Caenorhabditis elegans: one gene and its partners. The protein of the gene in region 4 interacts with the protein of the main gene of each other region in a pairwise test. Each region holds a gene or a part of one and is shown on either strand. Other genes may lie near its edges. The genes, in order: rfl-1, csn-4, twnk-1 and rabn-5.

What was found.
Region 1: the proteins of rabn-5 (region 4) and rfl-1 interact in a two-hybrid assay, tested with the Caenorhabditis elegans proteins (one large-scale study listed by BioGRID).
Region 2: the proteins of rabn-5 (region 4) and csn-4 interact in a two-hybrid assay, tested with the Caenorhabditis elegans proteins (one large-scale study listed by BioGRID).
Region 3: the proteins of rabn-5 (region 4) and twnk-1 interact in a two-hybrid assay, tested with the Caenorhabditis elegans proteins (one large-scale study listed by BioGRID).

Annotation. Positions count from the first base shown.
Region 1 is NC_003281.10:7,020,011-7,025,236, reverse strand, and holds rfl-1 (NEDD8-activating enzyme E1 catalytic subunit), read right to left. Parts: upstream 3,353-5,226; 5' UTR 3,348-3,352; coding exon 3,165-3,347; intron 3,120-3,164; coding exon 3,037-3,119; intron 2,988-3,036; coding exon 2,907-2,987; intron 2,838-2,906; coding exon 2,729-2,837; intron 2,681-2,728; coding exon 2,419-2,680; intron 2,332-2,418; coding exon 2,130-2,331; intron 2,087-2,129; coding exon 1,910-2,086; intron 1,867-1,909; coding exon 1,671-1,866; 3' UTR 1,585-1,670; downstream 1-1,584. Other genes in the region: cyk-1 (WAPL domain-containing protein), read left to right, coding at 1-166, 214-719, 765-1,186, 1,232-1,399; col-8 (Cuticle collagen 8), read left to right, coding at 4,638-5,070, 5,119-5,226. UniProt on the Caenorhabditis elegans protein: Catalytic subunit of the dimeric rfl-1 (uba-3)-ula-1 E1 enzyme.
Region 2 is NC_003282.8:1,083,673-1,089,403, forward strand, and holds the start of csn-4 (COP9 signalosome complex subunit 4), read right to left. Parts: upstream 3,342-5,731; 5' UTR 3,336-3,341; coding exon 3,256-3,335; intron 2,638-3,255; coding exon 2,552-2,637; intron 1,097-2,551; coding exon 936-1,096; intron 1-935. Other genes in the region: cct-8 (T-complex protein 1 subunit theta), read right to left, coding at 4,140-4,330, 5,262-5,615. UniProt on the Caenorhabditis elegans protein: Component of the COP9 signalosome complex (CSN), a complex involved in various cellular and developmental processes.
Region 3 is NC_003284.9:5,791,132-5,798,232, reverse strand, and holds twnk-1 (SF4 helicase domain-containing protein), read right to left. Parts: upstream 4,903-7,101; coding exon 4,739-4,902; intron 4,636-4,738; exon of another isoform or gene 4,497-4,635; intron 4,428-4,496; exon of another isoform or gene 4,307-4,427; intron 4,238-4,306; coding exon 4,168-4,237; intron 4,123-4,167; coding exon 3,842-4,122; intron 3,796-3,841; coding exon 3,520-3,795; intron 3,384-3,519; coding exon 3,311-3,383; intron 3,263-3,310; coding exon 3,152-3,262; intron 3,102-3,151; coding exon 2,967-3,101; intron 2,911-2,966; coding exon 2,837-2,910; coding exon of another isoform or gene 2,810-2,836; intron 2,747-2,809; coding exon 2,693-2,746; intron 2,679-2,692; exon of another isoform or gene 2,535-2,678; intron 2,305-2,534; coding exon 2,172-2,304; intron 2,127-2,171; coding exon 2,001-2,126; intron 1,540-2,000; coding exon 1,327-1,539; intron 1,281-1,326; coding exon 1,176-1,280; downstream 1-1,175. Other genes in the region: F46G11.4 (Inner membrane protein), read left to right, coding at 606-684, 747-812.
Region 4 is NC_003281.10:5,861,991-5,867,372, forward strand, and holds rabn-5 (FYVE-type domain-containing protein), read left to right. Parts: upstream 1-2,562; 5' UTR 2,563-2,566; coding exon 2,567-2,617; intron 2,618-2,666; coding exon 2,667-2,768; intron 2,769-2,822; coding exon 2,823-3,029; intron 3,030-3,078; coding exon 3,079-3,812; intron 3,813-4,165; coding exon 4,166-4,316; 3' UTR 4,317-4,549; downstream 4,550-5,382. Other genes in the region: dnpp-1 (Aspartyl aminopeptidase), read right to left, coding at 1-94, 142-948, 998-1,415, 1,463-1,556, 1,608-1,718; eng-1 (mannosyl-glycoprotein endo-beta-N-acetylglucosaminidase), read right to left, coding at 4,550-4,766, 4,813-5,016, 5,206-5,382.

The DNA of each region.
Region 1 (5,226 bases), 1.2 Mb from region 4:
CGACTGGAAACTTTATGGGCGGAGCGACAAAAAACTATTCGAGTGCTTACGCGTTCGACATGAGAATGCTGACAAGACTGGTTGATACAAAAGATGTCGATAATCGGCATACTCTTCTACATCATTTAATTGAAGAAATGAAGAGAATCGATCCAAGACGAGCACGGTGAGTAGATTCCTTTACTTGCTTTCTCAAAATTTAAAAAATTTAAGATTTGCTCTCACCGACTTCCATCATTGCATTGAATCGTCCCGAGTGAATGCGGATGAAATTCGAAAAACTGTTCAACTGACAGAGAATAACATTAAAAAACTGGAGAACTGCTTAAAAGTGTACAAAATTCAAGGAGAACGTGATTTATTCGACGAGAAGATGCGGCCGTTCCACGAAAAAGCTGTCAAAGAGTTCTCCACAGTTTCGTCAATGTGTGGAAAGATGAAAAACGATTGGGAGTCGTTGGTCAAGTATTATGCATTTAACGACAAAAAATATCCGATGGAAGAATTTTTCGCCGATATTCGCACCTTCTCTGAGCAATATTCGAATGCTTGGAAAGAGTTGGATGCCGAAGCAGAAGCAAAACGAAAAGAAGCAGAATTTGAGACACAGAAGCGGAAGCAGCTGCAACAATCTCAACAAGAAAGGAAGCCGTTACAAGAGAGACAGGCGATTAATAGAGTGCCAAGAACTCCGGCTGCGATGATTCGAGTTTCGACTGGTGAGTTGATATTTTTGAAATTGTTTTTTAATATAATTTTTTCAGCTGCCGATAAGGCTGGTGTGCTCGATGAGTTGGAGCGTGCTACAGGAAATGCTGATTTCCTTCAAACCTTGATGTCTGCCACAAATTCTCGAACTCCTCGTTCCGGATTGCCAGCTCGAACTCGCGGAGGTGGAAGACTTGGAGGAGGACTTGATCGGCAAAGATCACGACATCAGAATGCTTTGGGTCAGCTTCAAGATCTCACTGGCTGCGCATCGGAACCGGTTCTTTCCGGACAGTTTGCTCGATCACGCAACGTTCCTCAAAATGATCTGCAACGACAAAATATGGAACTTCCATCATCAGTAAAACCAACAACGGCGCTTGATAGGGCTAAAGCATTTGGAGTTGGATTGCCGATTGGTCAGAATGAGCTCAAAGTTCGAGTGAGAAGGAAAGGGCAACCAGCTGTTCCAGTTACGGTAACATATTTTATATGTGGAAACTTTTCGAAATTTAACTTTCAGAATATCAATGGAACATCGCAAATCTCACCAACGCACAAAGAAAACGATCCGACGGGTTCCTCGTCAACTTCATCTGGTCCTGCATCATCAAACACGGCTACATCATCATCATCAGGCACAGTGGTGCCATCAACAGACGATCTTCTCGCACGTCTTAATGATTTCTGAAAGCTCACATCGGTTGTCTTATCTATAGATCTAGTCATTCTCCGTCTCTATTTTTTCTGTATTATTGCCACATTTTTCATACTTTAATTGTCATTCACAGGGTCCCTCTTCTCGTTCCATTTCAATTGCTCGTTGTATTTTCATCAGTTCACTTTTCCTTTCTATTTTCTTTAGGTAAATATTTTGAGTTTAAAAACGATTTTATTTTTATTGACATGGAACACAGGCATACTTTACCCGAGACATTCAAAAGTGAAATAGAAGAAATGCATTAGATGAGCTGAATTCGTAGTGTAAGTGCACGAGACAATGCTTCGTCGGATACCAGTATTTCTTCGCCATCGCTAACAAGATCTTTCATCGAAGTATGCAGATTTTCTTTGCTTTCTTGTTCAAATTGTGGCATGAAACTGCTAATACAGTAAAGTTTTCGAGTTGAGGTCGCTAGTGTCGGATGTTTGAGATGGCTGAAATTTGAAATTTGTTTTCTAAAACAAACGGAGAACGTACAAACGCTCCGAGAGTCTGATGATAAGCGATTCAAGAGTTGAAGATGGTGAAACTTCGAATGGAAGACGCCCACCACTACAAGTGAGACAATTGTCATCTTTCATCATTGAAACAACACTGGTATATGCTCCGTGAATTTGAGTGAAATTAAGATAATTATCGATTGGTTTGGCAATGCTGAAATTGAATATTGAGAGTTTTAATATGTGATCTTACATACTTTGTGGCCAATTTCAGAGCTTCTAGGGCACATGATGCAGCGATAACTGCATTTGTTGATGCAACAGCCGGAATAATTCTTTTTAGAACTCCAGATGTCAAACGACGATCCACACCTCGAATATTGTATTTTTCTGCACGAAGACTTGCTCTTTCGAGAACCCATTCAACGTGGATCGGATCGTCAGCGTCAAGAGAAACACCTGGAAATATAACTTTTTTCCAGAAAAAACTTTAAAAATAACACTAAAATTAAAGTTCGTTTCACCGATTTTTCTGTAAATTTTTACCTTCAAATGGTTTTTCCTCTGGCCAAACAACTACTTTAATGTATTCAATACAATGTTCTGGAAGTCGAGGAGTGTGAGCAATTGTGCACAATGGAAAATTGACTTGAGGTGGATAAAGATCAAGAGTACAATCAATACAGGCTGTGAATTTCGGATATATGACACGAGCATTTCCTTTAAATCCTTCAGTTCCTCCGTCAATCATTGGAATAATTGTGTTCTCATCAGGTTTTCCGTCGGCCATTTCCAAAACCAAATCACACTGCAATTCGATAAATTAATTTATATTTTGAGCTAGAAAGAATTTTACCAGCATTCCGTTGATCCATCTTCTGGCTGGAATCGAATCAAGTCCACAGATAATTATAGAGAATTTTCGATAAAATTCTTGACCCTTGTCTTCAATTCTACAGTTGTGCCTGAAAATTGAAATAAAATTAAAATAATTCTGAATTTGTTTGGAAAGACTATCAAACCACAACACTTACGCAGTCACCTGACATCCAACAACTCTTTGTTGAACGAAAGCAGCAGCTACCTCAGCTTTTGATTTTCCAACGTCAGATTCCCTGAAAGTTTTTTTTTGACAGAACGAATTTAATAATAATTTTTTAATACCTAAATAAGAATTGACGATTTAGGTTTGATACATCAATTGTGTCCATATCGATAACTTCAATTGTTCGGAATCCGCTCAAAGCCTGAAAATGCATTATTTTTAATGTTTTTTTTGAATTCTAACTAACCAAGTTCTTTAACAACTCACAACCCAATCCACCAGCACCAATAACAAGAATCTTCGTGTTTTGCAGTGCTTCAAAGTTTTCCGGTCCGGGAACAAACCATGGAACTTTATATGCAGAGTCGCGATCTGTTAATCTTCTGATGCTCCTCCAACGCTCCGTTGCCAATGGATCCACGCTGACCATCTTTGCTTAAAAGTGTTGAATATTTAATTTTCCTTGTGGTGTAAACAAAATAGATTATACATTGTAAAGCATGTTTACAGTTCCTAATACTTATTTAGTGTCGCATTTTATTTTTTATTACAAGGAAAAAATTGGAACGTTTAAAGTATAAATTTTGTTGTTTAATTAATAATAATTCGCACTATTGTTCAAAAAATGACAATTCTTTGAATTTCATAAGAATTATTTATAAACAACATTTTAGGTTTATTCCATTAAAAATATAATCTCGCTTCAAAACGAACGATGTAAAACTATAATTTAATGAAATAATAACGAGAGGTGAAAATTAAAGAATAAAACAACAATAAAACAATTTCTAATTTTAAAACAATTCCAGCCAAATTAATGTCGATTTACGGTGAACAACGCGCGTTTCGGAATAGCGGAGTATCGTACTGTTCTGCTCACCTGTGTCTCTAAACGCAGCAGTGATGACAGACAATCTCTCGGGGATTACTGCCATTTGGCTCTCTAATCGATAGCATTCTCAATCAGGGAAGTTGAATAGCAAAAATACATCGTCTAATCAAAGGAGCGTCGACAAAGTATTAATTAATTTTTGGATTAAGTATTTAATGGGCCCGCAACGGTATCAGTAGACTCTTCACTGAAATAGGGTTACGGTAGCTCTTAAAGATTGAAGACTGCAAACTGAAGTTCCAATTACTCTCAAATTCCCTTAAAACTAATATAGAACCCTCATTTACTGAATTTCTGCAAACTTTCACTTTCTTTTCCGCCCCTGATACCTGAAAGAGGGTAACAGATAGGCGAGAGAAGTATTTCCAGAAAAAAAAACGATTGCCACACAATTTGATGTTCGATAGCAACAGACAAAGATACTGGTTACTGGAGAGTTTCAGAGAAATGCTAACTGGTTTGACGTCGTCGAAAAGTGATCGGAAAACAGGCGGAACCATTCGGAGAAGTAAACGGAAAATTGAAAATTATTGAGTGGTTCAGGACGTGACGATCTGATAAGGATGACTACTTAAACCATTGGATACACGCAAAGAAAGTTAATTTTTGGTTTTTAGTTTTATTTATTTGTTGATTTATCTAGAAATATATAATTTGTATAACTCGTCTTCATCTGTTTTATTCTATTATTTTGAGAAGTCCGCTAAAATCGGTTTGAGCGTTACGAGACCCACTGAAATTTTAAAGTGGGTCCCGCCACGGTGATTCAAGAAAATAACTTATTTTTAATTCCGCATGATTTTGAGACACATCGCATCAATTTTCAGAATGAGTAATACACTCATCTGGGCGGGGTCCGCCTCCATGCTTGTATGTGTCTTCGTGGCACTTTACACCATGATGGGTCTTCTTACTGACATCAAACAACTTCAATCTGATTTCGATGACGAGATGTTTGAATTCCGCGCCATTACTAAAGACACCTGGCAAAGGATCGTCACAAAACACACTTATCCAGGTGGCGTCGACGAAGAAACAATCGAATCTCATCCACCAACATTCGAGACTCTTTTCGGAACACGTAAGGCCCGTCAAGCTTATCCAGAACAATGTAACTGTGGACCAAAGTCTGAGGGATGCCCAGCAGGACCACCAGGGCCACCTGGAGAGGGTGGACAAAGTGGAGAGCCAGGACATGATGGAGATGATGGAAAGCCTGGTGCACCAGGAGTTATTGTTGCAATTACTCACGATATTCCAGGTATCTTTACTGTGTTATAGACTTGTTTTTAAATTGAGTAATTTCTAGGAGGATGTATTAAGTGCCCACCAGGACGTCCAGGACCACGAGGACCATCAGGACTTGTCGGACCAGCAGGACCAGCTGGAGATCAAGGAAGACACGGACCACCAGGAC
Region 2 (5,731 bases), on a different chromosome or scaffold from region 4:
GAATTTCTGCTAAAAAACTCCAAAAATTCCGAATTTTTTTTTTCAAATATCTTCAAATTTTCCGCAGAATCCCATAAAATCGTTCGTTTTTCTTCAAATTTTTCAATTTTTTCTGCAAAATGCTCCATTTCACTGCAACTTTGTCCTCACGAGGGACGAGGAAAAGTGGTTTCTAGGCCAAGGCCGAGGGGCCGACAAGTTTCAGCGGCCATTTATCTTGCTTTGTTTTCCGCCTGTTTTCTTTTGTTTTTCACAGCTTTGTCCCATTTTTTCTTATTAAAACTGATAAATCAATATTTTTTGCAGATGCTAAAACAATTTCCAAGTAAAAAAATTATGTATTCAGTGGGCAAGCAGCGGTGAAAGTGGTCAATGCAATATGATGGATTACGGGAATACAAAACCTAACCTTTTTCTGAAACATGATACATATGATGCTTAGATGCTGAAATTACCTGATTTTCATAACGAGACCGCTGAAAAAGTTTTGAGATTTCCACAATTCAACTTTTTTGGTGAAAAAGTCGAGATTTTCGCACAAAAAGTTGAATTTTGGAAACCTCAAAACTTTTTCAGCGGTCTTGATATGAAAATCAGGTAGCTTCAGCATCTAAGCATCATATGTATCATGTTTCAGAAAAAATTTAGGTTTTGTATTCCCGTAATCCATCATATTACAATGCCCACTTTCACCGCTGCTTGCCCACTGAATACATAATTTTTTTACTTCGAAATTGTTTTATCATCTGCAAAAAATATTTATTTATCAGTTTTAATAAGAAAAAACGGGAAAAAGCTGTGAAAAACGAAAGAAAACAGGCGGAAAACAAAGCAAGATAAATGGCCGCTGAAACTTGTCGGCCCCTCGGCCATGGCCTAGAAACCACTGTTCCTCGTCCCTCGTGAGGAAAAAGTTGCAGTGCATTTCCAAGTACCTGATCCTCATAAGAGATGGTTCGAGTCTTAATAATCGCCAAAATTCCTTCTGAAATAGCCTTAACACATTCTGATTCCAAATGTTGATTATCCAATCTTTCAGTGATAAGTGATACAAATTGACGTGATACAACCATACTTCCAGTCTCCAATGCGATTACTGCAAACATTTTTGGGGTTATAGGCTGCTAAAAATTCTAAAAGAAATACAAATTTTGCACTGAAACAGTGCAAAAATTGTAATTTTTAGCTGATAATTCAATTTTTTTATACAAATATTAATTTTTTCCTGTTTTTTTTAACGAAAAGCTTGAAAATCTTCGTCTAAGAAGCCTATTTTAAGCCTAAAAACTAGAAATTTCCACTTTTTTAAAGCTTTATTTTGAACCTGAAAATTTGAAAAAAAAATGGTAAAAAAATTCCATTTTTATTTAATTTTATGCGAAAAATTGAAAAATGTCCTAAAAGTCACATTTTTCGTTAAAAGGCCCTATTTTAAGCCTAAAATTGGCTGAAAATCCAATTATTCTGGAAAAAAAGTTAAATAATCACTTTTTCCGTGGAAAAAACAGCTGAAAATCCGATTTTTTCAAGAAAAATATATCAAAATCCCTGAAAACTCGATTTTTTCGTGAAAAATCAGCTGAAAATCGCTTAAAAACGCAGAACATTGAGAATTTTCGAGAAAAATCGTTGAAAAACGCACTTTTTCCGTGGAAAAACGGTTTGAAAATTTGAGTTTCTTAATTCAAATTTTTCAAGAAAAATCCAATTTTTGGGGGTTTTTTTTGGCTTCTGAGGGTGAAAAAGGCTCAAAATCTGAATTTTCTGTGAAAAATCGGTAAAAGGTCGCTTTTTATACCGGAAAAATCGAATTGTTCGAGGAAAATCTTTAGAAATTCAATTTTTCCCGCGAAAAAACGGTTGAAAACTACTGGCTGAAAATCACATTTACCGTGAAAAATTGGAAATTTCGCGTTTTTTAAAGGAAATTTTTAACTTTTCAAAAAAAAAAAACAAAACTGCAGAAAACGAACGAAAAATTGGATTTTTGTGAAAATTCATAAATTACATTGAAAAATTTTTTTTTTTGGATTTGGAGCTGAATATTGGCAGAAAATCCGATTTTTTCAGGAAAAATCTTTAAAAATTTACATTTTTTTTTACAAAATGGACTCAAAATTAGCTTAAATCGCTCGAAAAAGGCTGAAAATTCCATATTTTTCACTTAAAATATTTCACTTAAAATATGGAATTTTCAGCCTTTTTTGAGCGATTTAAGCTAATTTTGAGTCCATTTTGTAAAAAAAAATGTAAATTTTTAAAGATTTTTCCTGAAAAAATCGGATTTTCTGCCAATTTTCAGCTCCAAAAATTCAAAAAAAAATTTTTTTCAATGTAATTTATTTATTTCCAGCTAAATTTCAACAGGAATTCCGAAAATGTTCTCGTTTTCCGTCAATTTTTATCGAGATTTATCGATTTTCAGCCAGATTCCAACCAAATTGTCCAATTTTGAGCGATTTTCGTCCATTTTTTCACCAAAACTCATCATTTTTCGTAATTTTTAGCCAGATTCCCACTGAAAAATCCGAAATTTTCGTCGTGTTCCAACCTGTATCAATGATTTTAATAATTTCCGCCGTATCGACTCGTCCCATCGCATTTTGTGGCAAATATTTGTTGCAAAGCTTCGCCAATCTGCAAAAATCGGGGAATTTTTTGTCTGAAAATCGAGAAAATTTCGGCTTTTTAGCTAAAAAATTACATGAAATTTCAGAAAATCACATTTTACGTGAAAAAGCTGAAATTTTTAGCGTGATTTTCAGCAAAAAAATTAAAAAATTTTTTTAATTTGAGAATTTTCGAGTTTTTTGATACAAAAATTGGAAATTTTTTAGCTAATAATTAGTTTTTTTCCAATTTTTGAACGAAAAAAGTGCGGGATTTGTAAGAATTTTTCATTTCAAAATTCGTAGAAAATAAATGAAAACTTGAGTTTTTAAATAGAATTTTTCAGATTTTAAGTATAAAAATTTGAAAATTTCAGATTTTCTGGAAAAAAAAGATAAAAATTTCAATTTTTCGCGAATTTTACTAATTTTTTAAATTAGGAAATGTTTTTGCGTGAAAATTCGTTTTTTTTTCAAAATTTCTACATAGCTAAAATCGTTTTTTTTTTTTCATATTTTTTCAGCTGAAAATTTACAAAATTCAGATTTTCCAATGAAAAATACAAAAATTTGGGATTTTTTGCTAAAAATTTCCAGATTTTCACATTTTTAGCTCCAAATTTTCTCAAAAATCCAAAAATATTACGCTTCATATTGAGCCTTGTGATCGGTATCCTGTGCAAAAATGACCGCCACCTCCTGTGAACGTTCAATTTCGCCGCTCATTTTCAGCTGAAATTGTGGAAATTTTACAACAAAATTTTGGGGGGAATTTTCAGATAAAAATATAGGAAATTCGACTATTTTTTCTTTAAAATTTCTAATTTTTTGTGATTTTTTTGGAGAATTTTATAACAAACACAACGTGAAGCAAAAAACGAGAAAAAAAAACAAAATTTCGAGGGGGAAAAGCTGAAAATTATAGAATTTAAGGCGCAATTTTAAGATCATAAACTGTGATTTTCAGATTCAGAACGGGTTGGGGGATAGCATTAAAAATTATGGAGAATTGGAGGAAAAAGGCTGAAATTCGGCTGAAAATGGGGCAAAAGTTCGATTTTTCAGAAGAAAATGACAATTTTAAGCCCATTTTCTGGCAAAAACTGGAAAATTTTGGCTGAAAAATGCAAATTTTTAGCTAAATTTGACCAAAATCGAGTAAATTTGGAACTGAATTTTCGCGTTAAAAAAAAAAAATTAATTTTTAAGCAAAAATCGAATTTTCAGCTCATTTTCCAGCGAAAATCAATAAAAACGGGGAAATTGCAAAAAATCATACGGAGAAGGCATATAGAGCGGGAAAATTTAAAAAATACGGGGAAAAATGGTGGAAAATGAGCTAAAAACTGTTAAGCGAATTTTCAAGATAATTGCAATTTCAGCTCAATTCCCAGGGAAACGGCGGGGAAATTCGAGGGGAAAATCTGAAAAAGTGGGGGAAAATTGTCTAAAATTTCGCTGAAAAATCGATTTTCAGCTCATTTTCACTCAAATTTCCCCAATTTTTCAGCAAAAATGCACACAAAAAAATTAGGCCATTCCATCGTCATCCTCATCTTGAGCCTTTGGTCCACGTGGTTTTGGTCCTCCAGTCGCCTGCTTTGACATAATAATCTGATCAACTTTGAGAATTGTGCTGGCGGCGTCTGTGGCGAGCTTAATTGCCAGTCGTTTTCCAGCGTAGAGGTCGAAAATGTTGTTGACGACGGCGTCCATTGTTTCTGAAAAAAAAGAAGGAATTTTAGTTTAAAATTCGGGATTTTTCAGAATTTTGATTGAAAATTTACAAGTTTTATGCGCTGGAAATTGACATTTTTAGCCAAAATTTCGGGGGGTTTTGAGGAATTTTTACCTGAAAATTTGGCATTTTTCAGAGTTGAAAATGGCCGATTTTTGGCTGAGTTTTCGATTTTTTCATTCAATTTTTTGCATTTTTGAGTTGATTTAAAGAAATTTCAGTTGAAAATTTCGGATTTTCAGCTAATTTTCTGAGCTTGAACCGAAAAGTTGAGGTTTTTCAAAAGGAAAATTGGCCAATTTTGATTAAAACTTGAAAATTTTCTGTCAGTTTGCTGATATTTTTTTTTGGAATTTTTAGCAAAAATTGAATGTGTTGTCTGGAATTGGGGGATTTTTTTTGGAAATTTTGACGTTTTTTGGAAGAATTTCAGTTGACTTTTGACTGAAAATTGCCTATTTTTAGCGAAAATTCCGGGTTTTGTGAGGGTTTCCAGCTGTGAAAAATCAGTTATTTTAATGCAAAAACTGAAGAAAACTTTAAAAAAGTGAAGCAAAACAAAAGAAAATTGATGTTTCCGGTCACATTTTCAGTCAAAAATGCACATTTTCAGGTAAAATTCAAGTTTTTCGGCCATTTTTCGACCTAAATTATTGGATTTACAGTGGAAAATTTAGGTTTTCGGCGAATTTCAGCCGAAATTGTTAGATTTTCAGCAGAAACAGCGGAATTCCGGTGAAAATTCAAATTTTCAGTTAGAAATGTTTTCGGTAAATTTCAGCAGAAAATTTTGAATTTTCAGTCAAAAATTAAAGTTTTCCAGTCATTTTTCGACCTAAATTGTCAGATTTTAAACCGAAAATTCGATTTTCTTCGAATTTTCAGTGCTTTCATTGGGTTTTTTCAAGCCGTACCCCGCTTCCAGATATCAATTCCAGCGTTTTTCTTTCCAGCAACATGCTCCGCGTAGAGTTTTGTCAGAGTTTCAGTGGTTGGCATTCCAGCGTTCTCAGCAATAGCTTTTGGAAGAGTTTCGAGTGCGTGGGCGAACTTTTTGATTGCATATTGCTCCAAACCAGGTGCTTTTGCTCCAAACGACTCAATTTCTTTGGCGAGCTCAATTTCGACGGCTCCGGCTCCGGCGAGCAATTTCCCGTCTTTTGTAAGAGCTTTATAGGTGTTTACAGCATCATCGACAGCTCTTTCGACGTCATCAATACGAGATTGAGAGGATCCACGGATTATGATTGTGGCGACTTTTCCGGTTTCTGAAAATTTGAGAAAATTGAGATTTGAAGCTGAAAATTTGAATTTTTGGCTAAAAATTGGCTTTTTCAGTGATAATTTTAACATTTTCAGCTGAAATGGTAAATTTTTGGCCAAA
Region 3 (7,101 bases), on a different chromosome or scaffold from region 4:
AAAACTGTGTAACTTTGTATTTTTTACAAATACACACAGTTTCGCAAATTAACTGTTTAATCGCTCTGGTCAAGAATAATGTCCTTTTGAAAACTAGAAATTTCTTGGAGAATGGCTCATAATATGATGTTCTAATATTAAAAATAAATACCTATTCAAATTGCCCCAAAATTATCATAACGATGATATGATGATAAAGCAACATCTCTACAAGTTTTCAGAGTTTTGGTAATTTGCCAAATTTTCAAACCACTTTTTTTTTGACAGTAAATTTTTTAAAAATACAGACAATTTTTTAAACGTTTTGTTAAAATTTTTCCCCACAAAAGCGCTTTTTAACAAATTCCATATAACTTCAAACATTGAAAACTCGAAATTTTCCATTTTTTGAAATTTTTCCAGCCAAAAATAAATTGCCAACGCCCATTTTTTGAATAAATTTGTTTCCTGAAAACGCTTTTTGACAGCTTCTCAAAACTAAACACACGCAAACTCAATGAATTATGTAACGGCTTAGCACATATCTTCGTCAGAATTGCCACTTATTCAAGCTTCTTGTCGTTTTTCTAGAGCTGTTCAAATATTCAAATGTTTTTTTTTTCCAGAATAGTAATTCTTCTCGGGCTGACAGTATTTGCCGTTGGTCATGATAACAATGAAACCGTCTGTGATTATGTTCCAATTGTAAGTGCAAGTTGTTAATATTTAAAAGAAAACCTTTAATTTTTTACAAAAAAAAATTACAGCCACAAATTCGGATACTTCCCACATCTGCTCCGCCTCATCCTGCACCTCCACGAAAAAACATGTGACAAATTTTGATTAATTTTTTGTTTTCGATTCTTGATTTCCAATTTCGCTTTCATTCAACATTTTTTTATTCTCATCGTCGAGTAATGAAAAATTTATTTATTTGCAAACTACAGAAGCTTTGTGTTTTCGCGGTAGTGTTTTCGAGATCGGACAAAATAGGGAAAGACGTCAGAATAATATGTGACCTACGGAGGGAGAAGGTGGATGAAATGGGTCAGGAGAAAAGGTATATTTCTTCATCAAGTATCAGCGTAATAGGGAGAAAGGAAAAAGCAGAAAAATATATTTAAAAAATAGAACTGAATAATGACACTCGAAAAACTTGGAGAAATTGTAAAATTAATTTGATTAAGAAGAAAATTTTACTTTGGAAACTCTACAACTGTATGAGAATAGGTGGATGGGTTGAAAACCATCTCAAGTTGATCGCTCTCCACTCGTCGGCCATAGTAGCGGTTTTTCAGAATCTGTAATAGAATCCTGGATGGTCATATCATTCTACTAGAAGCTTACGTATAAGAATTTTCGGAACTTGGAACGGTCACGATCATCACGCTTCCGCTGAATAGCAATGACATTATCAGCTTCCTGGGTGACTCTGGCGGAACCTCCAAAGTGTTGCACATCAATTTCAGTATCACCGTCAGTTTTTCTGGGATGAACAACCATAGTGATGTGAATTTGATTCTGAGTAGCAAGTTGACGCATGTATCCGACAAATCGATCCTGAAAACGAAGGTTCAAGAAGATTTATATGTTTAGAGGAGGACTAAGGGTTTTGGGTTTTTGCATGTACATATATTTTCAAAATATGAACAAATTTTGTAATGATACTCAACAAACTGGTTAATGTTTTTTTGGAGAAGTGTCATAATATTTACGAGGTCCAGAAAAACACCCTCTTGATAGCAGTTGGGCGGTCGATTTTTCAACTTTTTGCCATTTTGCTCCCAATTTTTGGGATATCCGAATACAATTGTTGACACAGAGGTTTTTTGTAATGCTGAATCCGATTCCCATATTATTTTCCTATTAAAAAGTTCCAAAATGCCCTAAACCGCTCAAATGGAAGGGGGGTCCCAGCAATTGGGCGCACTGTAGTTTTTCTCCTACTAAACCAAATGTTCCCATTTCTTGTAATGTTAGTTTATGAACCAAAACTGTAAGTTGATGTAAAAAGAAATAACCTGAAGGTGGAATCTATCAAGGCCACTTGACTTCTCATCTGCCATCATTCCTTGGTTAATCAAAAACTGGAGATTATCGATGACAACATGTTGGATACCACTGTTTTCAACGTGAATACGAATTGCCTAAAATGGTATTTTATGATTCAAACCCTGCTCCACTATTATTACTCTGACTATTTCATTTATGGACTTCTCCATGAACTCTTCGGAGTCAAGCATTGTCAACGCCGAACTCGATCTCTCGAATCTATCCAACCATGAATTTATCGAGTTGCTATACTCTACTCGATGCAGCGGAAGTCTGAACCAGATTGATTGGGAGTTGTGTATGGGCTACGGATGTCTGGGCACAATCAGAATAAGCATGCCAACACTCATCCACATACCCATTTCCGTTTCCTTGAACAAACTACCGTGCAAAAACACACTTTCAAGATAATCGACAATTGCCTCGCGCACCACGAAAAGCACTAGCTAGTAACCAAAATGAGCAGTGAATGAGAAATGAAGATGTTCTACAACTCAAAACTGTGAGGTGGTAAAATAAAATAAATAACAGGTCTAGTTGGCTACTGGTTTCATAAGGAAATTATTGAAATAGTTTTTGATTCACTTATTATATTCAAAAACCAATTTAGAAAAAACAAAAACTATTCCAGATAGATCCTAATACTTCTAAATATTCTTACTTGATGCCATTTTTATATGAGTTAGTGCGCGCGAGGCTTCGAAGATGTGAAGGACTGCAGACAAAAACAAATGTTAGTTAAAAAGTTGCAAGCCATTGAAAAATAAAATAGAATAACAATAGAAAAAACACTAGATCATCATACCCAGCGTATTGCACAAGCATCCAATGGAGGATCTTCTTTTCAGGCATCTCGAAACTGCAGAACAGCGTGCGCACCTAGAATTAAACCAGAGATATTAGAAAAACTCAGCTAATGCTAAAATTTAAAATACCCCTTGAGTAAATAGATCCAATGAGTATTCACATAAAAATGTAGTTTTTCCGTTGCCGGTTCCTCCGGTTAAAACTGTCATCTCCCCTGGCCGAAGCCCGCCAAGATACTTATTCAAAACAGCAAATCGTTTCCACTGAAACAAATTATTTAGACCGAAATTTATCTTTTTTCCTTTCGTCTTACTTGTCCAAATCCAACAACGCGATTTGTCGAGTTGAGAAGGTCTGAACGGATTCCTTCACGCATGTCTAAATCTGTCATTGAACGGAAACCACGCTCTCTCATTCGAACCACCTAAACTATGAAAGTTGAAAAAAAACAAGAACAAAATGGCAACAGTACCGAGTTAGATAGTGAGTTCCGAATGAGCCGATGATCACCATTACGAACCAATTCAATTGGGCGTTCTTCGTTTCTGAACTTACTCTTTTGGTTTTGTTTTCCGAACGTTCTCTATATACTAGGGCTTCCAAGCAGGCTCCGGAACGCCACCTGTCTTACGCCGCAATCCGCGCCTTCCATGATAGTCCTACTGAATACCATAAACTCACTTCACAAGAAGACATTTGAGGGTGTTCAAAGCACTTCCCCAGTCTTTGGCATAACTGACATGCTGAACCGGGAACCACAGATAGATCTTGTCAAATTCCTCCAGATACGGAAGCACGAGTGGATCCAAAATTTCTCCATGTGGTAGAGCAAATACCAGAGCTTTGGTGGCTTCGTAGATCGCCAAAGCATCACGCTCATTTGTGGTAATGACTACACTTCGATCTGACAGAGTTGCCATATGAAGCCCGAAAACTCCATTGAACTTTTGGCGAACGCTGGAAATGGGTAACTATGAAGGAAGACATCGGAATTTCTACTTACGAAGTTTCATCTGGCAGTGGATAGTTCTCCTTTTCCATTCTGTCTCCAACTTTACGGATCAACTTCAAACCCATTGGAATGCGTAGCCGGGAAGTCATTCCACGATACCGTGGAAAAAGAATGGCAGGTTGACCATAGGTGTCGGTTTGGACACGAACGTTGAAACGAGCAAGAGTTTCGAATGAAATGTTCTCAATTCCAAGCATCCCTTGGAGTTGCTTGAAAATAGTGAAATCGTGGCCACTCAGATCAGTTATGTCTAAACTGCTGTCCCAGTAGCGCTGAAAACGGAAAAAGCTTTTTTGGGAGTGAAAAAAAATTCGAACCTTGATATCCGGATCTGGAGGAGCACTCATGGCTTCTGAAGCGTCAAGTCTTGGAGAAGGCGCGTCAGAACTGAAAACGAACCAAATGAATTTATTTATGTTAAATTGAGCTCAGTCAAAAATTATGTTCATATTTCAATTAAAGTTCATATCGAAGATACTCGACTGAAAATGAATCCAAGTGTCAAATTACGTAATAAGACCTTTTGAATACTTTTCAAATATTTCGAGGGGGGCTCAAACGATCTAAAAATATGGCTAAACTAAGATTGGTAACTGCAATTATATCTAAATAATGAACAAAAAGCGAGAGATATGCAACTTACAGCAATAATCCTAATATCAACTCTTTTGCAAAATGTTCAAAAAACTTTTACGATGGAATTTGCTTTTTGAAATCCATCTTATAAGTTAACACCCTCTTTTAGAGCCTTCAAAATTAAGATTCAATTTTGCATTCAATTTTGCTTGAGCTCGGTAAAAACGATTTCATCAATATTCAAAAAAAGCGTATGTGAAATTAAATAAGATTAACATAAGCACAGGATGCAACACTCAACACTTTCTAAACCTGAAATCAAAGTCTGCAATCTGATTCATCGATTCAGACGCTGTCACCGATCTTCCCGTCCGGGGTGCTTTTCTCTGCCGTAGTCGTCTTCCGGTGAAATATTCGTCGTCGCTGTGATCAAATGGAGCTTCGTCGGGGCTTGGCAGAATTGTATAGTCATCCATATCAATCCATGACACTGCTTTAGAGTTCAATGGTGGTAAAAATCCACTACTGGACGAGGATGGTGCTTGATGGAACTGATTTTCTAGAATTCGACGCGATATTATTAGAAGTGGGGGAAAAGCTGAATGAATGGGGTGCCAGGAACTTGAGCAGCCGGAAAAAGTGCCAGAAGTGAAAGGTTCTGATGTTTACAAACCAGTCACGATGGGTACAAAACAGAAAAATGCGCAGGAGAGGCACCCCGCAAACAATAATAGTTCCCCCCACCCTAAAAAATGCTATTGTGCTCGTCCTTTGGCCCCCATTCTTTATGATATTCGACAATTACACAGCTTATTTGGCAGGAGCCCTCACAATTGCTGGCTAGAGACGTTTTGGCAAAAGTTGTTAGATTCGACAAGTCTGCGCGGTGTAAAAATAAAAACATGGTGGCGGAACTAGTAATTCGGGAAAATTTCAGGTGTTTTCCAACAAAAAAACTGCATCCGTTTCCAAATTTTTTAAAAGCATATTAGCACAAGGGAAACGCAAATAGAATGCTTAAAGACATACCGACTGGATACCCATTATCTTCGTCTGAGCTTGAATATAAATACGATTTTTTTGACATCCTAGATACCGGTCGGGACTTTGAGCGATGCATTGTACAGTAATAGATTTGAAAAAACCAGCAAATGAAATAGACAAGTAAGTTGCAACTTGAATCAGAGTTCGGATCGAATCAATTCAAGTGCAAGTGAAATTGACCTCGGGTTAATCGGGGTGGTTCGGAGCAACGGGGCGAGAGAGAAAAAAGGTTGGCGGGGGCACCGACGCCGTACACCTCACTTTTTCGAGCAATAATCCTATGGTTGAGTGAAGGTTTGGTGGAGCAAAAATGCTCTTAAATAGAAAGCTATCTTCGACTTTTTTGTGTGCTGCTTCTCCTCCTCAACCTCCTCGTTCAGACTCGCTTTTATGTTGGGGCAGCGTTAAAGGCTTCCTGGATTTTTGGTGGCTCACTAAATCGAGGTGCCCCAAGTGCTTTCATTGTTTTTCTCCTCTTCTCGTCTTATATATCTTTAGATATTACGAAAAATAAATTTTTTTTGGAACGAAGTGAACCGGTTTACTTTTGTTAGGTTTGGCTATTTTCTGAGGCAACAGTATTTTTTGAAAAAGTATATTCTGGGGGAATACAAATTAAAATTATACTTCCTCACAGTTACAGATTCACATTTTGGAAATTTTCAAACAAAATTTCAAAATCAGAAACTATCAACCAATGAATATAAAAACAGCACAACATCATTAAAAAACGTGAAAACCGAAACTTCCATGAAAACCGAATATGACAACTGCTTGGCACACTATTAAGCAAACAAAAAAGACTTCTTCTCCCGGAAGTCACTTATGTGCATGTTTCTGGAAAACATGACAAAAACTGGACTTACTCATCGCGGAACTTTCCCACTTTCGATGTCTTCTTCCGAGTATCGATTTTGTCCATCAAATTCAAATAGCTCACACGATCGTAGAGATCCGAGTCGAGCTGAAAAAAATTTGAAAAATACAGTACCATTTCTAAGACTTACTTCGTCTTCCATGGTTTTGAGCTGCAGTTTGCTAATGGTTTTTGACAAGGTACCTGGAAAAAATAAAAAAAGATGTTTCAAGGAGATCTAAAATTGGAAAAAAAAACTAGGGAATAGTTGCCAGTTGTCGTCTAAAGACTAAGACAAGAAAATGTCTCATAGGACGGAATGATGGGGGTGGGGTCGAATGGGATAAGAGAAGGAAGCTCAATTACTTGTATTGTCGACAGATACACCTTTCGAGACGGAAGGAAATGTACAATCGTTTGAGCAGGGACGGAGCCCAGCTATGATTGCACGTACCAAACAATTTTTATACTCCATCCCACAATGTATATCCATCATCTCAAAAGTATACATTCCGTCTTCCTCCTCCTCCTTCTCTTTTTACTCCAACATCTCCCGACCATCATCGTTCTATTATTTTTCCCGTTGGATTGGCACGAATTGGTATACCCAAATTGGTACACTTCTTACGACTAACAATGAACCCGTCACATACCTTTCCTTTTTCTTTTAATAGTATGCATCAAGGGATGGAAGGACTTAGATTGGGAATCGAAGAAGAAGCAACGTCTGCACTTTCAGGATTCCTCTGAATGCCGCTCCTTGTTTGTTCTCAAC
Region 4 (5,382 bases):
CTATTGCATGTTGGAGAGGACAGTTGACAGACGTTCGTAGAATGTAGAGTAGAGAGTGGTGGCCTGGTAGATGCTCGAAGTGTCGGCAAACTCGCTGAAATCAAGAAAATAAATGATGTGATTTAAAAGTTAAATCCCTACCGAATCGAGTGCATAGCCAACTGTGGGCATCCTACATCGACAGTCTGCAAGCCAAGTTTTGTGGCAAGAATCGGTCCAACCGTCGATCCACAAGGAGAATCATTGCGAACGACGACAACTTGAAGAGGAACTTGAGCTTCGAATGCAACTTGCTTGAGAGCAGCGTGTGTGGTTGAAGTTGTTGCATATCGTTGATTGACGTTTACTTTGACGACGACTCCACCATGGAATGCTGGACGATGGTTCTCTTCGTGTTTTGCCGAATAGTTTGGATGCGTGGCATGAGCTTGATCTGCAGAGATGAGCATGCTCTTTCCGATTGCTTCTTCGAAAGCGGTTGTTGAGCCTCCAGCAGAAAGACGGCGGAGAACGAACTCCGTGAAAGAAGAAGATGCTCCCATCGCGGAATCCGATCCTACTTCCTCGTTATCGAAGCATGCGGCAATACGAATTTGTGGGTCATTCTTGAATGACTCTCCAGTTAGAGACTCGAGAAGTCCACTTATCGCAGTGTATGTTCCAACTTGGTTATCAAGACGAGCTCCAGAAATGAATTCATCCTCCATTCCAACAATCGCAGCCTTGTTTGTATCGTAAAGGTAGAGATCCAAATCAACGATGTCTTCTGGCTGACATCCAGCTTCCTTCGCGATTAATCCGAGGAATTGGGGATGATGATTGTTGGTAATGTTTCGTGGATCGGCAAAACCAGTAGACTCGGGTTTCTGTGGTGCATTGATTCCAGCAGCAGCGAAGGTTTCCAGAATCGGGCGGAGCTCAGTTTCCGTGTTTGGTTTGAATGTTGTTCTGAGAAATAAATTGCAAAATTAGGACGATAGTGACAAATTTCAAATACCTGTCGGTCTCCAAATGAATCGCCAAATTTGGAATGAAAAGAACTGGCTTTTTCACGTCGATCAGCTTGTGTTGAAGTTTCTCTCCATTCTTGACAATAACCAATCCAGCCACCGACAAGTCACGGTCAAACCAGGTTCTCCAGATTCCACCTCCGTAAGTTGATACACCAACTTGAAGGAATTTATCAGACTTTTGGTGGGAAATTGGTTTGACACGGAGGCATGGACTGTCAGTGTGTCCCACAACAATCGAGAATCCACTCCCTGGCTTGTAAGATCCTCCAACAGCGAATGCAAGAATTGCAGAGCGGTTCTTGGTGACAAAGTATTTGCTGGTTGGCTGAATGTCCCAGTGACCCGATTCTGGAAGCTCTGTGAAACCGGCTTGTAGAAGGCGATCCTTCACTTCTTGGGTGGCTGCAATTGATATACTTTTGAATATAAAAATAAATAATAAATATTACCATGAAATGGAGTAACTGCTTTATTCAGATAGTTGATGAACTCTTGTGCAGCTTTGCGGATCTCCGGAGCACTTGGTTTCAGAGCAGCGGCCATCTAAATTAAATAAACTTATTTATGAAAAGACAAAGAAAGAATAGTGAAAACCTTTTTGGGTTGATAGCTGGTATTGGGCTCAATTTCATGTTTTGGATAGCAGCCGCACACTACTTTCAATTTTTCGGAAATACGATTTTTTCGAAACGACTTCTTTGTCATGATTCAAACTCAAAATGAATTGAGCCCAATATTTTACTACCATCGGAGTGAAAATGAAAAAAGATAAGACAAAATGTTGCATAAAATTTGAATCTGGAATGATTTTCTATAAGCGATAAACGGTTAGTTTCTACTGGGCGAAAGTTCGAGAGAAGAATATGTGGTGCTGATTATCAAAAATGCGTTATCAGTGATAGTTATCAAGGTTTCTAATAGAAAGAATCAAAAATGAAGGAAAAGATAATGGAGAAGACATGAGAAAAGCGAAAAGATCAGGAATTATTTGAGGAAAGTTAGTGAAAAAAAAATTGACAGGAAAAAAACGTCGGAAAATTTTAGAAATCGAAAAGAAGAAAAGAACAATTTTTAACGTAGAGTAGTACTGTATTCAAGGCGCAACGCTTAAATCATTTTTTGGGTCCTGGAAAGAAAACTACAATAGCTGGAAATGTTCTGAACTTTGAATATAATTATAAATTTTATATATAAAATTTTGTTCATCTTGATTTTTCAGAGCGATATATTGTTTATAAATAGAATGATTTTTACTACAAATTTTTAAATTTTTATGAATAAAAAATAAATTAAACATATAATAACATTTTCATAACTCAACAGAATGAAATATGTTTATTTCACTCCAGAAAACATTTACTTTTCTCTTGGAAGTCGTTTAATGAAATTAATACTAAAACTGCTCGATTATTATGTTTAATGCTCTTTAAATGTGTCACCAAATGGCCTAGGTTTTCAACCTAGTCCTTGCCAACATTGTGATGAGACCTTTTTTATTTAATTAATCAAATGACTCATATATTTTTCGAATAAATCAAGAATTTTCTAGAAAAATGACAGAACCGTCGGCTAGCGAAGAAGTGTCTGCCGGAGTGAATGCAGAGGTAAGAGTGTTGCATTTTAATCGATAATTCAAAGACCCTTAAATTTCAGGAGCCGCCAATACCGTCCAAAAAGATTTCGCAAGTCTCACCGAATCCAACGCTTCAATGCGAAATGTGCCAGAATTATGAAGTGAATTTGACTGCATTACAGGTGAGAATCATGGGAACACGGCAAATATGCAAATGATTTTTGTTTGTTTTGCAGGAAAACGAACGAAAGTTAAAGGAAGAAGTGAAGGCGGCAATGGAGTTGAACGAAAGATATCAATTGGATTTGAGCAATGAACGAGACTATCGAAAAGAATTGGAAAAGAAAATGAACGAATTATCGACTAATTGTTTGAATCAGGTTAACGAGGCGGCAAAGGCAAATGCCAAGTCGGAGCAGCGGCTGGACGAGCTCAGTGCGAAGGTATTTTAAATAAATAAAAAGAATAACTTTTAAAAAAGCTTAATTTCAGCACGACAAATCGATAGAAGTATTCACTGATCAATTGAATTTGGCTCGTGACAAACTGCAACAAGCCGACGATGACTTTGTTACATTAGGAAAAAAGTACAAAAAGCTTCTCGGGTCCACACGAAAATCAGCACAAGAACTTCGGTCCGAGAAAATCGATATGCCAGCTGATCTTGATCAATTACAATTTATTTGTCTCAAGAATAGGGAAGAATTGATAGAAACTCGAGCTGCAAAAGAGCACACCGAGCAGCAGCTGCAGGATGAGATCACCGTCCTGCGAGCTCAGATTCTAGAAGAAAGAGCGCACAGAGAAGATCAGGAAGTGACATTTACTGCAGAGATCAGCAGATTGCAGTCGGAATTAGGAAAGATCAACACTCGAATGGTTGTTGCATCGGAAACAATTGCAGATCAAGATTCGAATATCAGACAAATTAGAGATCTTCAAACAACTGTCGGTGAACTTGAGACGCAGGTTCAGCAGGTTCAAAATGAGAGAGCCGCTGTTGAACAGACGGCACAGAACTACAAGCAACGGTGCACAAGTCTTCAACAAGAACTCGACACATCTGAAGTTGTGCAGAGAGATTTTGTGAAATTATCTCAAAGCCTCCAAATTCAATTGGAGAAGATTCGACAGTCGGAACAAGAAGTACGATGGCAATGGGATGATGATGTAGATCAATGCTCAAATTGTGATACATCGTTTGCTAGAGTTAAAGTTAAACCTCAGTAAGTTTTTGAAAATGGAAGTTTGAATTTCTGATAAAAAATTACAAGAAAATTATTTTCTTCATTTTCAAAAATAAATTTTACACTTTTCCAATTAAAATATGTCAAACAGAAGATTTTAAAAAGAAAAAAAATATATAGTGATTATGAATCAAGCGTTCGGTACCCTTTCTTAAAACGACCTAAAATATTTTTAAAAAAAGGCTTCGAAAAATAAAAAATCACGCATAGTTTTCCAGAAATAGCAGATTTTTATAAGGAAAAATTTTTAAAAAAGTGCGAAAAATAAGAGATAGCACTATTTTACTTTTTCATGGAATATTTCAGTCACTTTTATTTTTCAAATCTTTTAGCTGTCTTCATTGTGGTCGGATATTCTGCATGAACTGCCTGAAAGACACCGTTCCAAGTGGACCAAATCATCGACCAGCCAATGTGTGCAAAGTATGTCACACACTGCTCAATCGGGATACAAAACCATTCTTTGCAACGCAGGATAAGTAATAATTCATCTGGAATGCTTATTCTGTCGCTGATTATCCACAACTCGCCCTTCCAATTTCACTTTCGCCACCTTTTCCCGATTTTATATGTGCATCATCCGTGTGCTAGAATGTCTAGTCTTTTAATTCTTGTACAATGCTTAATCTATTCTATATACGTACATATATACCAGAAATTGATCTAAAATTGTGCATTAAAATTTGTTTTATTGACTTTTATGAAATTAGAATTATTTAATTAGAATCAATGGAAAAGTTTTCGATCACAGTTTCGTCGTTGCTTGATGTCAAGATGCTGATGGATTCCAAATTTCCTGGCTTGTCAATATGCCACGTGGAATCTCCGGTTTTGTCCATAATTTCAGATCTATTCAGAAGCAGGTCAATTGAATTGGAAGTAGTGCAAGTTATGGTCAGGGTACTGTAGTTGACAGAATCGAAAGTGAATAGTCTGGAAAAAATTATAATGAGTAAATTTTTGTATGTTCATAACTTACAGAAATTTTCGATTTCTGCCAAAAAGAGTGAGTCCTGTAGAGTCAATTACTTGGTGGCAGAAGGAGCTTAAAATTTGAGGCTGAAGCTGCACTGTGCTCAGGCGGTAGTGCCAATTTTGATCCATTCCAGTACAGAAGTTGGTGCCAAAGTTTATAGAAGTTAGAGGACGAGTTCGGATGTGTGGAAGAAGTTTGGACCAGAAGCTGGAATTAAATTAAAATTTCAATAAAACTTAAATTGTGGAATTTTTCTGAAAAAAATCCTAATGTAGAATTTTCTAGTTGGAAATAAATTAAATTTCAAAAATTATGTTTTTTATAAATTTATATTTTTATCGGGGTACTGTAGTCTTTTTTTTCTGATTTTTCAATTTTATTTTCAAAAAACCTTACTGAATTCCTTTGCAAATTTGATTTTCCTCAGGAAACTTTTCATAAATCCATCCGGGTGCAAAAAGAGCAACTGACATGTGAAAAAGTTTTGCCAATGCAAATGACTGATCACAATGAAATTCTCCAACACAACCACGAGCCCATACATCAATTCCAACAAAGATCCGATCAAGAACT